Linked DNA regions of Xenopus tropicalis. The protein of the gene in region 3 purifies or fractionates together with the protein of the main gene of each other region. This does not show direct contact. Links are inferred from orthologs where the notes say so. Each region holds a gene or a part of one and is shown on either strand. Other genes may lie near its edges.

The links.
Region 1: the proteins of vdac1 (region 3) and atp1a1 fractionate together in Homo sapiens (co-fractionation; 3 studies listed by BioGRID, with this or other methods). This does not show direct contact. The link is inferred for Xenopus tropicalis from reciprocal best matches to the Homo sapiens genes VDAC1 and ATP1A1.
Region 2: the proteins of vdac1 (region 3) and sqstm1 purify together in Homo sapiens (affinity purification with mass spectrometry; 3 studies listed by BioGRID, with this or other methods). This does not show direct contact. The link is inferred for Xenopus tropicalis from reciprocal best matches to the Homo sapiens genes VDAC1 and SQSTM1.

Annotation. Positions count from the first base shown.
Region 1 is NC_030678.2:1,064,509-1,068,008, forward strand, and holds part of atp1a1 (sodium/potassium-transporting ATPase subunit alpha-1), read right to left. Parts: exon of another isoform or gene 2,996-3,500; intron 2,766-2,995; coding exon 2,655-2,765; intron 2,504-2,654; coding exon 2,444-2,503; intron 2,347-2,443; coding exon 2,143-2,346; intron 2,061-2,142; coding exon 1,947-2,060; intron 1,570-1,946; coding exon 1,435-1,569; intron 1,296-1,434; coding exon 1,178-1,295; intron 1,047-1,177; coding exon 778-1,046; intron 590-777; coding exon 391-589; intron 274-390; coding exon 164-273; intron 1-163. UniProt on the Homo sapiens protein: This is the catalytic component of the active enzyme, which catalyzes the hydrolysis of ATP coupled with the exchange of sodium and potassium ions across the plasma membrane.
Region 2 is NC_030679.2:22,199,356-22,202,639, forward strand, and holds part of sqstm1 (sequestosome-1), read right to left. Parts: coding exon 3,281-3,284; intron 2,465-3,280; coding exon 2,250-2,464; intron 2,030-2,249; exon of another isoform or gene 2,011-2,029; coding exon 1,839-2,010; exon of another isoform or gene 1,833-1,838; intron 1,129-1,832; coding exon 1,033-1,128; intron 760-1,032; coding exon 533-759; intron 248-532; exon of another isoform or gene 230-247; coding exon 13-229; intron 1-12. UniProt on the Homo sapiens protein: Molecular adapter required for selective macroautophagy (aggrephagy) by acting as a bridge between polyubiquitinated proteins and autophagosomes.
Region 3 is NC_030679.2:22,887,148-22,890,537, reverse strand, and holds part of vdac1 (voltage-dependent anion-selective channel protein 1), read right to left. Parts: intron 3,334-3,390; coding exon 3,181-3,333; intron 3,091-3,180; coding exon 3,038-3,090; intron 2,085-3,037; coding exon 1,857-2,084; intron 192-1,856; coding exon 41-191; intron 1-40. UniProt on the Homo sapiens protein: Non-selective voltage-gated ion channel that mediates the transport of anions and cations through the mitochondrion outer membrane and plasma membrane.

The DNA.
Region 1 (3,500 bases), on a different chromosome or scaffold from region 3:
GCTTTAGAAGAGATTTTGGGAGGAGTTTCTCTTTAACCCTTTCCTATAACACTGAGCCAGCACAGCATTTGTCTGAAGGCACCAAGTCAGACGTAGCTATGCAGGGTGCAACCAGTTCTCGGTGCAGGGGTGGGGTGCAACACGATGGTGGAGAGGAACTTGCCTTTAGGATGGGGGTGTTCTCTTGTCCAGCCTGAAACACGGCTCTGTTGCACAATCCAGCAACCCGGGACAGGGCTGTCCATGTGGGGGAGCTCTTATCGAAGGAGGCACCTGTAAAAAAAAAAAAAAAAAAGCCAAAATCATCAGCCAATCATAAAAGAGAACCAATTTCCAGTAAGCGACAGGAGCAGTAGGACACCACCAAGCGCCCACGGCTGCCCAACTCACCGCTCTGATTCTCCGTGGTGTCGGCTTCATGGATCTGGTTATCAAACCACATGTGGGCTACGGTCATTCGGTTCTGTGTCAGGGTGCCCGTTTTGTCGGAGCAAATGGTGGAAGTGGATCCCAAAGTCTCCACAGCCTCCAGATTCTTCACAAGACAGTTCTTGCGGGCCATTCTTTTGGCGGTCAGTGTAAGGCAAACCTAAAATGGGGGAAAAAAGGTCAGATGAATCCTGGGGCCAGTGAAAATCTGGTGGAACAGGAAAAGCTCGTGTTTGGCACTATAACTGCCCAGTCCTCCTTTTGGTGCCCAGGGCTGGGCACAGCCAGGCTTCAGAGCGACCACTTACACACTGCACTTTATATTGAGAGACAGTCAGCCGCACTCACCGTGACAGTAGCCAGCAGTCCCTCTGGCACATTGGCAACAATGATACCAATGAGGAAGATGACAGCCTCCAGCCAGGTGTACTGCAGAATGAGTGACAGGATGAAGAAGCTGACCCCCAGGAAGACCGCCACGCCGGTGATGATGTGAATAAAATGCTCAATTTCAATGGCAATGGGGGTGCGTCCTCCCTCCAGGCCAGAGGCCAGAGTAGCGATACGGCCCATCACTGTACGATCACCGGTGTTGACGACAACGCCACGGGCTGTGCCTGTGAGACAGAAAAGAGTTGGGTTAAATAATGAACATCCTTTACCTCTGCTGCCCCCACCCAACGTTGCTCCAGTTGCACGGGTGCCCAATAAGGACGTCGGGTTATTTCACACAGGCGTGACATCTCACCTTCCACACAGTTTGTAGAGAAGAAGGCGATGTTGCGGGTCTCCAGTGGGTTCTCATTGGTGAAGTCAGGAGAGCGGGTCTGGGGTTCGGACTCTCCAGTGAGGGAAGAGTTATCCACCTACGGTAGAAGTTGGGTCAGGTGTGTGCGGCACTACAGGAAACCCCACTATTTCCCATGTGTAGGACCCCCCCGCCCTGCCTGTGTGTACGTGATGGATCATTCCATGAGGAACAGCCTTTACTTTCCCCGCTCTCACCTTGCAGCCATGAGCGGAGATGATCCGAACATCCGCAGGTATCCGATCTCCTCCCTTCACTTCTACCAGGTCACCCAAAACCACGTCTTCCGCATTAATACTCAACTTCTCTCCGTTTCGGATTACCAGGGCTTGCTGTGTGACAGAGAAGTCTCCATTAAGTCAGAGACACAGGGGAAACCCAATACCAAGGGAAGACGGGGGGGGGGGAGTGAGGGGCCAGAATACAGTAACATATTTACATTACAAGCCAAGTACTATAAATAACTCCCTGCAGCTCTCGTATAACATAGTAAATGTGGTGCTGCCATCACTAGGACCCAGGGGGCAGGTACTTTGTATCTGTAGTTTCCCACCAAAGTCTGGCCAATTAGCCAGGAACGTCACTAAGTATTTAACCCATAGCAGAGAGCGGAGACTGTTGGTGTTCTGCCCCCTTAGCAGGGCAGGAGGAAAGAGGGGTAGGTTATATGATCCCACCCCAGGGCAAACATATTGCAAAGGAATTGCACCTGAGGAACCATGTTCTTGAAGGACTCCATGATCTTAGAGCTCTTTGCCTCTTGGTAGTAAGAGAAGCAGCCGGTGATGATAACGACAGCGGACAAGACAACACCGAGGTAGAGCTGTAGGGAAGAAGATAGAGAGTCAGCCTTTGGTACCAAGACTTCCATGCCAGTGCCCTGTACAGAACAAGCAATCACTCACATTATCATTCGTTGGCTCCTCTTCCGTGGCAGCAGTGATACCATAGGCCAGGAAGCAGAGTATGGCTCCAATCCACAGCAGCATAGAGAACCCCCCGAACAGCTGGCGGCAAAATTTCACCCACTCTGGAGTAGTGGGGGGCGGGGTGAGGGCATTGGGTCCATCTCGTGCCAGGATCTCTGCTGCCCGGGCCGTGCTCAGACCCTGAGAAACAGAAAGGAGAATGTTGAAGGGAATGAACAATCCATTTCCCCATTGGACCCTTAGAGACACTGACCAATCACACAAGCGTATGACTTACCCTTTGCATGTCCGTCCCAAACTTGCGGTGCAGCTCATCCAGACTCAGTTTGTGGTCTTCCTGCAAAGGGGAGAAGGAGAGGGGTTCATTTCTGGCACAATGGATACACCAGCCCCCCTACAGGGGAAAGGGATCCAGCCCCCCCCCCCCCCAGGCTTTTCCTCTCTCTCACTGGGAATCCCCCATCATGACCCAGATGCCCCCCACTTACCATGGTCAATTCCTTCTTTAACTCATCCATGTCTTTATCCTTCCCCTTTCCCTTTTTCTTCTTGCCCCCCTGCTCAGAGGTAGCTGCGGGCTCATACTTGTCTCTTCCGGCCTGTGGGGAGGAAAAAAAAAAAAAAAGTGTCAAGGGCAAGTTCACCCAATTTATTTTAATGCCTTTCCTATCAATGTTCTGCAAAACATAGGTCATTCTGTCCCTTGCCATACTCTGAGACCCCAGTGAAACAGCGCCCCTAGAGGTTCCCAACATGGCACCCAGAGATGGGTGTGCCCTTGTTTTCCTATGCAGGAAAGACACACACACACACACACACACACACACACTATGCACTGTGTAACCCAGTACAACTCGGCATTATGTTCCTTCAATGACCCCATTCACCGGCAGTGGGCGAAGCTGCCCATGTGTAACGCCTCCCTGTGTACCTATACAGGGGCAAATCTGTTTAATGGAGTAGCTTTAGCCCCACCCTCTTATAATCCTGCCTGGCAGCTCCTACACAGGGGTGGGGGCACCCTAACAGCGAGCACAGAACTTATTCCCATACAGCGGCTGTACAAAATGGCCACAGATTGCGTAAGGTACCCACACGGAGTGTGAGCGGGGAACGCCGGCTGTGCCAGAGCAGAGGGATAATATGGCTGCCAGCCGTTGCCAAAACAAACAGGAAGGCAGAAGTATGTGTCACCTCCCAGTACAACAAGGTGACGAGACAGAGAGCGGCAGAGATGCCACACTGGCAACTGATATGGGAAGGGTCGGTGCCAGGGGCCGCACAGAGACTGGGGCCCCCCCAACTGCCACCCGCCTGGGATACAGGGCATTACT
Region 2 (3,284 bases), about 690 kb from region 3:
AAAATAGATTACCTGGTGGGAGGTGTGGATAAAGAGCAGCTTCTCTAAGCCCTGTAGGTGCATGTGTGGGCAGAGCAGAAGATCTGGTTGGATCTAAGGAACACGGCTGGCCTGTCTCCATAAGCTGAAGGGACTGAAGTTCACCAGTGGAGGGATCAACTTCTTTGGATGAGACATGGGTCCAGTCATCATCACCCCCTGAAGCACTGCTGCTATTTTCCCCTTGTTCCTGATGTAAACATAGCAGGTAACATGTTTAATGTACTGTAGCTCTGTATTATATAAATATATAAACTGTAAGAAGTACATCTTGATTACAGCTCAATCTCTTAAAACGGTTTACCCCCCCTTCCCCCTAGAAATGCACATACCACTCAGTTTAAGACAGAGTTTGTGACCCTAGAAGCAGTGGATTGGGGTTAGACACCCTGTGGTGATGAGGTGATCTCTAACAGGAAGCATGACTGAGATCTATCATATATTATCTTCCATGGAAAAAAATGTTAGGTAAAGACAGCACAAAAGAACTCACATTGTCTTGTGGAAGAGGCGAATTCAGTGCAATATCTTTCATTCTTTTTGCGATGTGCTCAGTTTCCATGAGATTAGGTGCCGAGTCAGATCTGCTGGCGATATCCTGGCTTTCTGTAAAGGAAGTGGAGCTGTTTGGCTGCGAGTCCCCATCCACAGAACAGGGGTGTGAAGTTGAAACTTTGGTCCTTTTTCCGCCATGCTCAACATCAATGTCCACGTCAATGCCTGAGGAAAGTACAGAAAAGGCTCATTTATATACTATTAGGATTCGGTTCCGCCGGGACCGTGGATTCAGTCAAAACCGAATCCTTCAAAAAAATGCTGGGTTATTTCTGCAAGGAATCAAAGAGGACTTAAGAAAGAGAGCAATCATTTTTTAGGACTTTCAGGATTAATCGTAAGTCAGTATAAATAGGGTATTAGATTATGGAGACATTTATCATTTTCTTAATGCATAATTAATGGTCCCCACAATGTCAATTTAATAATGGCACTTACCCAGGGGGCTCAGCATTGCAGCCACACTCTCTCCGACATTCTTCAGGAAGGCAACATTGGGATTCTGAGAAGACTGGGAGTCACTGGTGGCTGCAGCTTTGGAAGGGAAAAGGGCTGTTATTATGCTATTGCTATACAGCATCACACATGGCTTAGGGGCAGATTTATCAAACTGAGTTTACAGCTTAATTCCTCAAAACTCACCAATGTTCTATGCCATTACCCTAAGGCAAATTCACTTCAAAAAGGAATTACATATAAGTATTTTAACCTTTTCATAGAAAATATACATGTCTTTAAAGTACAATACCATTTCCTCTAGGAGTAAAAAAGTTAAATCATGCAACCTCCATTTAAGGGACAACAACTATAAAAGTTCACGTTCCACAAAACAAAAGCCCCTGCTTTGTGTTTGCATTGTTCATTCAGAAAGCCATAATGCTTTGAAGAAGTTATAAGTATCCCTTTGGATAGTAGCTCCATGAGCCTTTGCCCTTACGTGCACTGGCACAAAGGGCTATTCCCAGCAGTTTTATGGCCATGTGTTTTCCATTTCAGTGGGTGGATGGATGGGCAGACTTCAGACAACTGGGAAGCTCCTCTCCACTGACTTTAATGATAATTACTTGAGAAGCACCTCTTCACTGGCTTTAATGATTATCACTTGGACCCCACCTGTACACTTATGGGTCAAGTTAATATTGCACAGAAATGTGGCATTGAGAGGGCTGCCAAACTAAGGACACAAGTATTCTTTGTGCTAAAATAACATTAATACAAAGAGATTCTCATTTGCACAGGTTTACCTTCCTCTGCTGGGGTTTCATTCTGAGGAGGGGTGCTTTCCTGGGCCTGCTGAAAATTTTGGCAGGGGTATCCTCTGGGTGGATAGGCCCAGCCCTGCATCCATGGGAAGGGAGGGACTCCATGATGCATTTTACGGAACCAACGGCTGCGCGGATAGACCTGAAAAACAGACTGATTGCAGTATTTCAAGGTAGAACTTTTCAAAGCAAATAATTCAGCTTTAAATTACTATGTGCAATAAGACTAACATGTAATATGTGATAGACTAAACAATGTGTAAGATCCAAGGTGCTAATTTCCTAACAGAGCTAACTGATAAAATTACTATATAAAAACATGATTCCATTCCAATAAATACCATTAGAGAAATGAAATTCAGTGGTTCTTCATAATATATCTGTAGAGCTTACCAGTGGGGTAGGGAACATGATCATGTTGTGTTCCTTGTGGATTCCTTTTTTCTCACAAGTGCTGCACAGATCATAATCTGGGCAGATGAGGCACTTGAACCTGTTTCCCACCACAGGCCCATCACATCCATCACAGGTCACGTTCGGATGAACTACGTTTTGTGGGGTTTCCTGCCCGCAGTGTCCACGATGGTCACGTTTGCACTCTTTTCTCTCTAAAAGAGTAACATTATTAGTGTGCCTATTTAATAGATTATTTCAAATCACAATACAATCTGTCATCGCAATCAAATCGGGTTAATCTATACATAACCCAAAGTGATAATAATCCAGTCCTGGATTTTTTTTAAACCATTTACTCTAACATTAGCTGAGCAGCTACTTGTTGTGGCTACTAAGAAAGACAACTGATAACTGATAATTGTCACTACGCATGTTTTAGCAGAGGCAATTCTTAGTATTGTCTATGGCAGGGTATTTCCTGGCGTTTAGTAGCCTTGAAAAAGTAGCTGCTACTAGTAGCACTGTGTGTCTTCACCCTAAATAAGGCCTCAAAATACCCAGAATTGATCACTATTACCACCAAGAGGTTAGTTGATATCTCTGCTTGTAATGTTAACAAAATCTGCTCCAAAATTCATACATTTGAAAGGCAAAACTAAGTTCTATCCTTCAAGGGGGCTAAAGCAAATGCAAAGATTTTTAACCCTTTGACAGCCGGACACTTATGTCAAATGCAGACAGTGTAGACACATACACATGTCATTCAAGTTTGATTTCCTGGAATGTTAATGTCATAGCATTATTCATCTATGCCACTAAAAAGGGATAAACCATGTATCTGCAGCATATAGTGAAAATGAGAAATGAACAATCAACCAGAGCTTTGCTTTTGTTTTCTGACTTAGTAGTAGTAGTCAGTTCAAAACTCAGTGCTGATTGGATGCTACAAGTAATCCACTGGTGTAATTTAGCACTTAATTCATGTTTTTAACTGAGTCATAACAAGTCCCACGTTAATGTTCAGATACCTTT
Region 3 (3,390 bases):
GATGAAGTTTATGAAGATGTGCTTCATTGTTTGTACTTACTGAAAACGAAGCATCACTATCGATTTGATATTTGGCTGCTATTCCGAAGCGTGTATTGCTGTTTCCTGCTGTCCATGCAAGGTTGATTGCAGTTTCCAGTTTATCATTAACCTTCTGATATACAGAACCACCAAACTCTGTACCGTCATTTCTGTTGGCAATATACCACAAATATTATTATTACTGGACAATTTAAAACATGCCAGCATTTTCTGCAACATTGTAAATGATCTGTACTTTTCAATAAAAAACCAATGCAAAAGGGCCCACAATGCAGTAGGGCTTACAATCCAAATAGGGATATGCGAGACACAACATATAAAATCGGTATGTTAGTGAAATGTTATGTTAATGGTTCTCACTGAGATAAAAACGTGTTACTTATAATTAGGATCAGCAAGGCTGATATGTCATTGCAGGAACTGAGGACTTTTTTTGTAGAATGTATTTTGTGCCTCTGTTCTCTGCAAATGAATTCCACAGGTATGGAGCTGCTCTGGTGTCCCTGTCCATATAAGTAAGTTACCAGGAAGCAGAAAAATCTGGAGGAATAAATGGTTGATTTGGGCTGCTCCTGTGAGAACCTTGCCTCAGGTGGCAGTGAGCAGCCAGTTACTAGGGTTGGCAAAAAGCCGCCTCTGGTAACTTTAAGAGCCAAATTTTCATTTTTTAAAACCAAAATTTGGGTCTGCTAGTGCAGACTTCTAGGTCAAGCCAAAAACATGAGAAAGGTTAGTTCTTCTGATGAAATGAACCCTAGCACATGTGCGTTGTATATACGTTATATTGTCAGCTTTATATGGGCCGAGTCTAAGTTACTTAGGGTTGAAGTTCAACCTCTCTAAACAATATTTATCTTCTATTAAAAAGTCTATGTCAAATGTCTATGATGCTTAGATATGACCAAATGCAAAAAAATATCTCAGGTACCTCATTCAGGAATCTTGGTAAACTATCCATATCTGGTATTGCTACACTTAGAAGATATGGGGCTTTCTAAATCAGATGTGTCTTTGTTTATAGTTTTTTTGGTCTATTTTAATTATGTAAAATATAAAAAATGCTATTGTGGGCAAAAAAATAAGTGCATGAATGTTATGAATAAGACCCTAAATCCTAGGAGTGCTGTGCTTGTTTCAGTATATATATATATATATATATACACAATCCATAAGATGCTCTGCAGTAGGACCCCTTGTATGTTAAAACCCATATCATTTCAGAATCCTTAACCATATTATAATATATGCATATTTATTATAGTCATATATATATTTTTTTTAATTCTGCGATACAGGTTTATATGTCACTGAAAATGTATTATTTTAGTTACCTTTAACTAGCAGCAGCCTATAAGGGGGTTAATGCCCCACTAATTGTTTTTATTAGTATGAGATAATAAAAGGATAATCCTGTATTCATTCATAATAGTCAGGGCAATGATTTGACCACAACAATGTTTTGCTATTTCTTTTTTTCACTAAATGATTTGCAATTGTCCACACCCCCTCGCAACAGTAGAAGCAATTCCTTGGCTGATTAGTATAACATTTAGAATTCATGGATATTTAGTACATTATTAATAATGCACTGTTGTTTATTGTTCATCGTTGTGGGTGTTTCACAATTTGCCATTTTTCTCATTATTACCATTACCTTTACAAGCTATTGTAGACTCAAACTAAATCTCTTGGAAAACAAAATGTTTCCCCACAGGGTAAAAGTAAAAGATCACAAAAATGTTTATGTGGATTAGCAGTGAAAGTTTTAACATTGTGCTGAATTGCTTATACAAGAAATGTTTTGTTTGACTTACACATTGGTATGCAACTGAAATTCATCAGTTTTGTATCCAACTGCAAAGTTGCTTTGGGAGACTCTGGACTTTGAGGATTCGAAAGTCATTTGGTAGCCAGCTAACCATCCCTCATAGCCAAACACTGCAGCTCCCCGCACTGATGGGCCAGCAATATCGAAATCCATGTCACAGCCAATGTTAAGGTGCTCTCGCTTGTATGCAGTCTTGACTTTTGCATTCTTCTTTCTATATAGTTTGAGAAAAGAATAAATTGGTATTAGGAATTATTATTAGCGAATAGATTCCCTTATCTGTTTTATAATATATATTGTGTGTTTTGACTTACTAAATATTCCTAATGCTATAATTTGGTGCTAATGCTTCTGAGGAAGTGTCTTTTGGCTACCAAGGGTGTCAAGCATGCACCCCCACCCCACCCCATCTGTTTACACGCCTGTTTAAGATATGTTTTATATACATATCAGTTTTACACAAAAGCTCTCCCCAGTATTCAGCGAGGATCAAATCTGGATAAAGCTTTTTTGTTTGCCAAAGTCACATTAGTTTAACCCAGTGAAATGCACTGTTTTTTCAATATTTTGAAGTGTTTGTGTAACCCAGCAAAACTTGCTAAGTTGTGTGAGGCAGAAAATCAAAGCAAAAGGTAATCCTACCAGTAACTAATAATAACACAAATAATTAATACCTCTTGCTAGTAAAGCCACACAGAGTTTCAGCCATCTTTCCACTACACTATACAGATTTAAATGTTGCCTAGATCTCATGCATAATTTATTTGTAAGCTTTACGCCTATCTATTTTCACTCACAGTAGTCCTATAAATTTACAGTGGAGCTGAGCAAGCATAAGGAGTCTGGCAAATCAGTTCCAGATGAGCTAAAAACCTATGCTATCTAGGAACATCCCTGTTGCCTGTCAGTGGCAAATTTGATACTGAAAAGAACTGGATGGTGTGGATGGCCTTTGGTTATCTGATTATGCTGAACGTTCTATAAATGTAATTATTCAGCCAGTTACAAGGATAGCTAGGACAGCAAATACGTTTACACCCCTGATTAGCCCTATGTGGAATTACCCTAATCTTTCATGCTGGGTCCCCCAGCTACTAATTCATGCTCCCCTTGGAGGGCTGTATATAATTAAAAACTCTCAGTTATTTAAGTGCAGATTCTTCTTACCCTGTGTTAGGAGAAAATGAAGAGTCAAATGTCAGCTTCAGACCCTTTGCAAGCTAAAGAGAAAACATATTATGTATTTAAATTGTAAGACATATCTTACTCACAAGTTCCAGAGTTAAATTATCTCAAATTAGGATATTTACCTGGTCTTCTACAGTGATCTCTGTCCCTAATGTGTTATCTGTATTCCACTTTTCTGTGAAAGTAAGGCCATATTCTGCCCATTTGTATTTGGTTTCCAAGCTGCCAGCAACTTTGTTAGTCTCTGCATTCGCTGATCCTGAGCTTGTAAATTCCTGTAAGTCAGAGAAGTATACACACAATATTCTGTTACTGGAAGTTGTGTAATCATG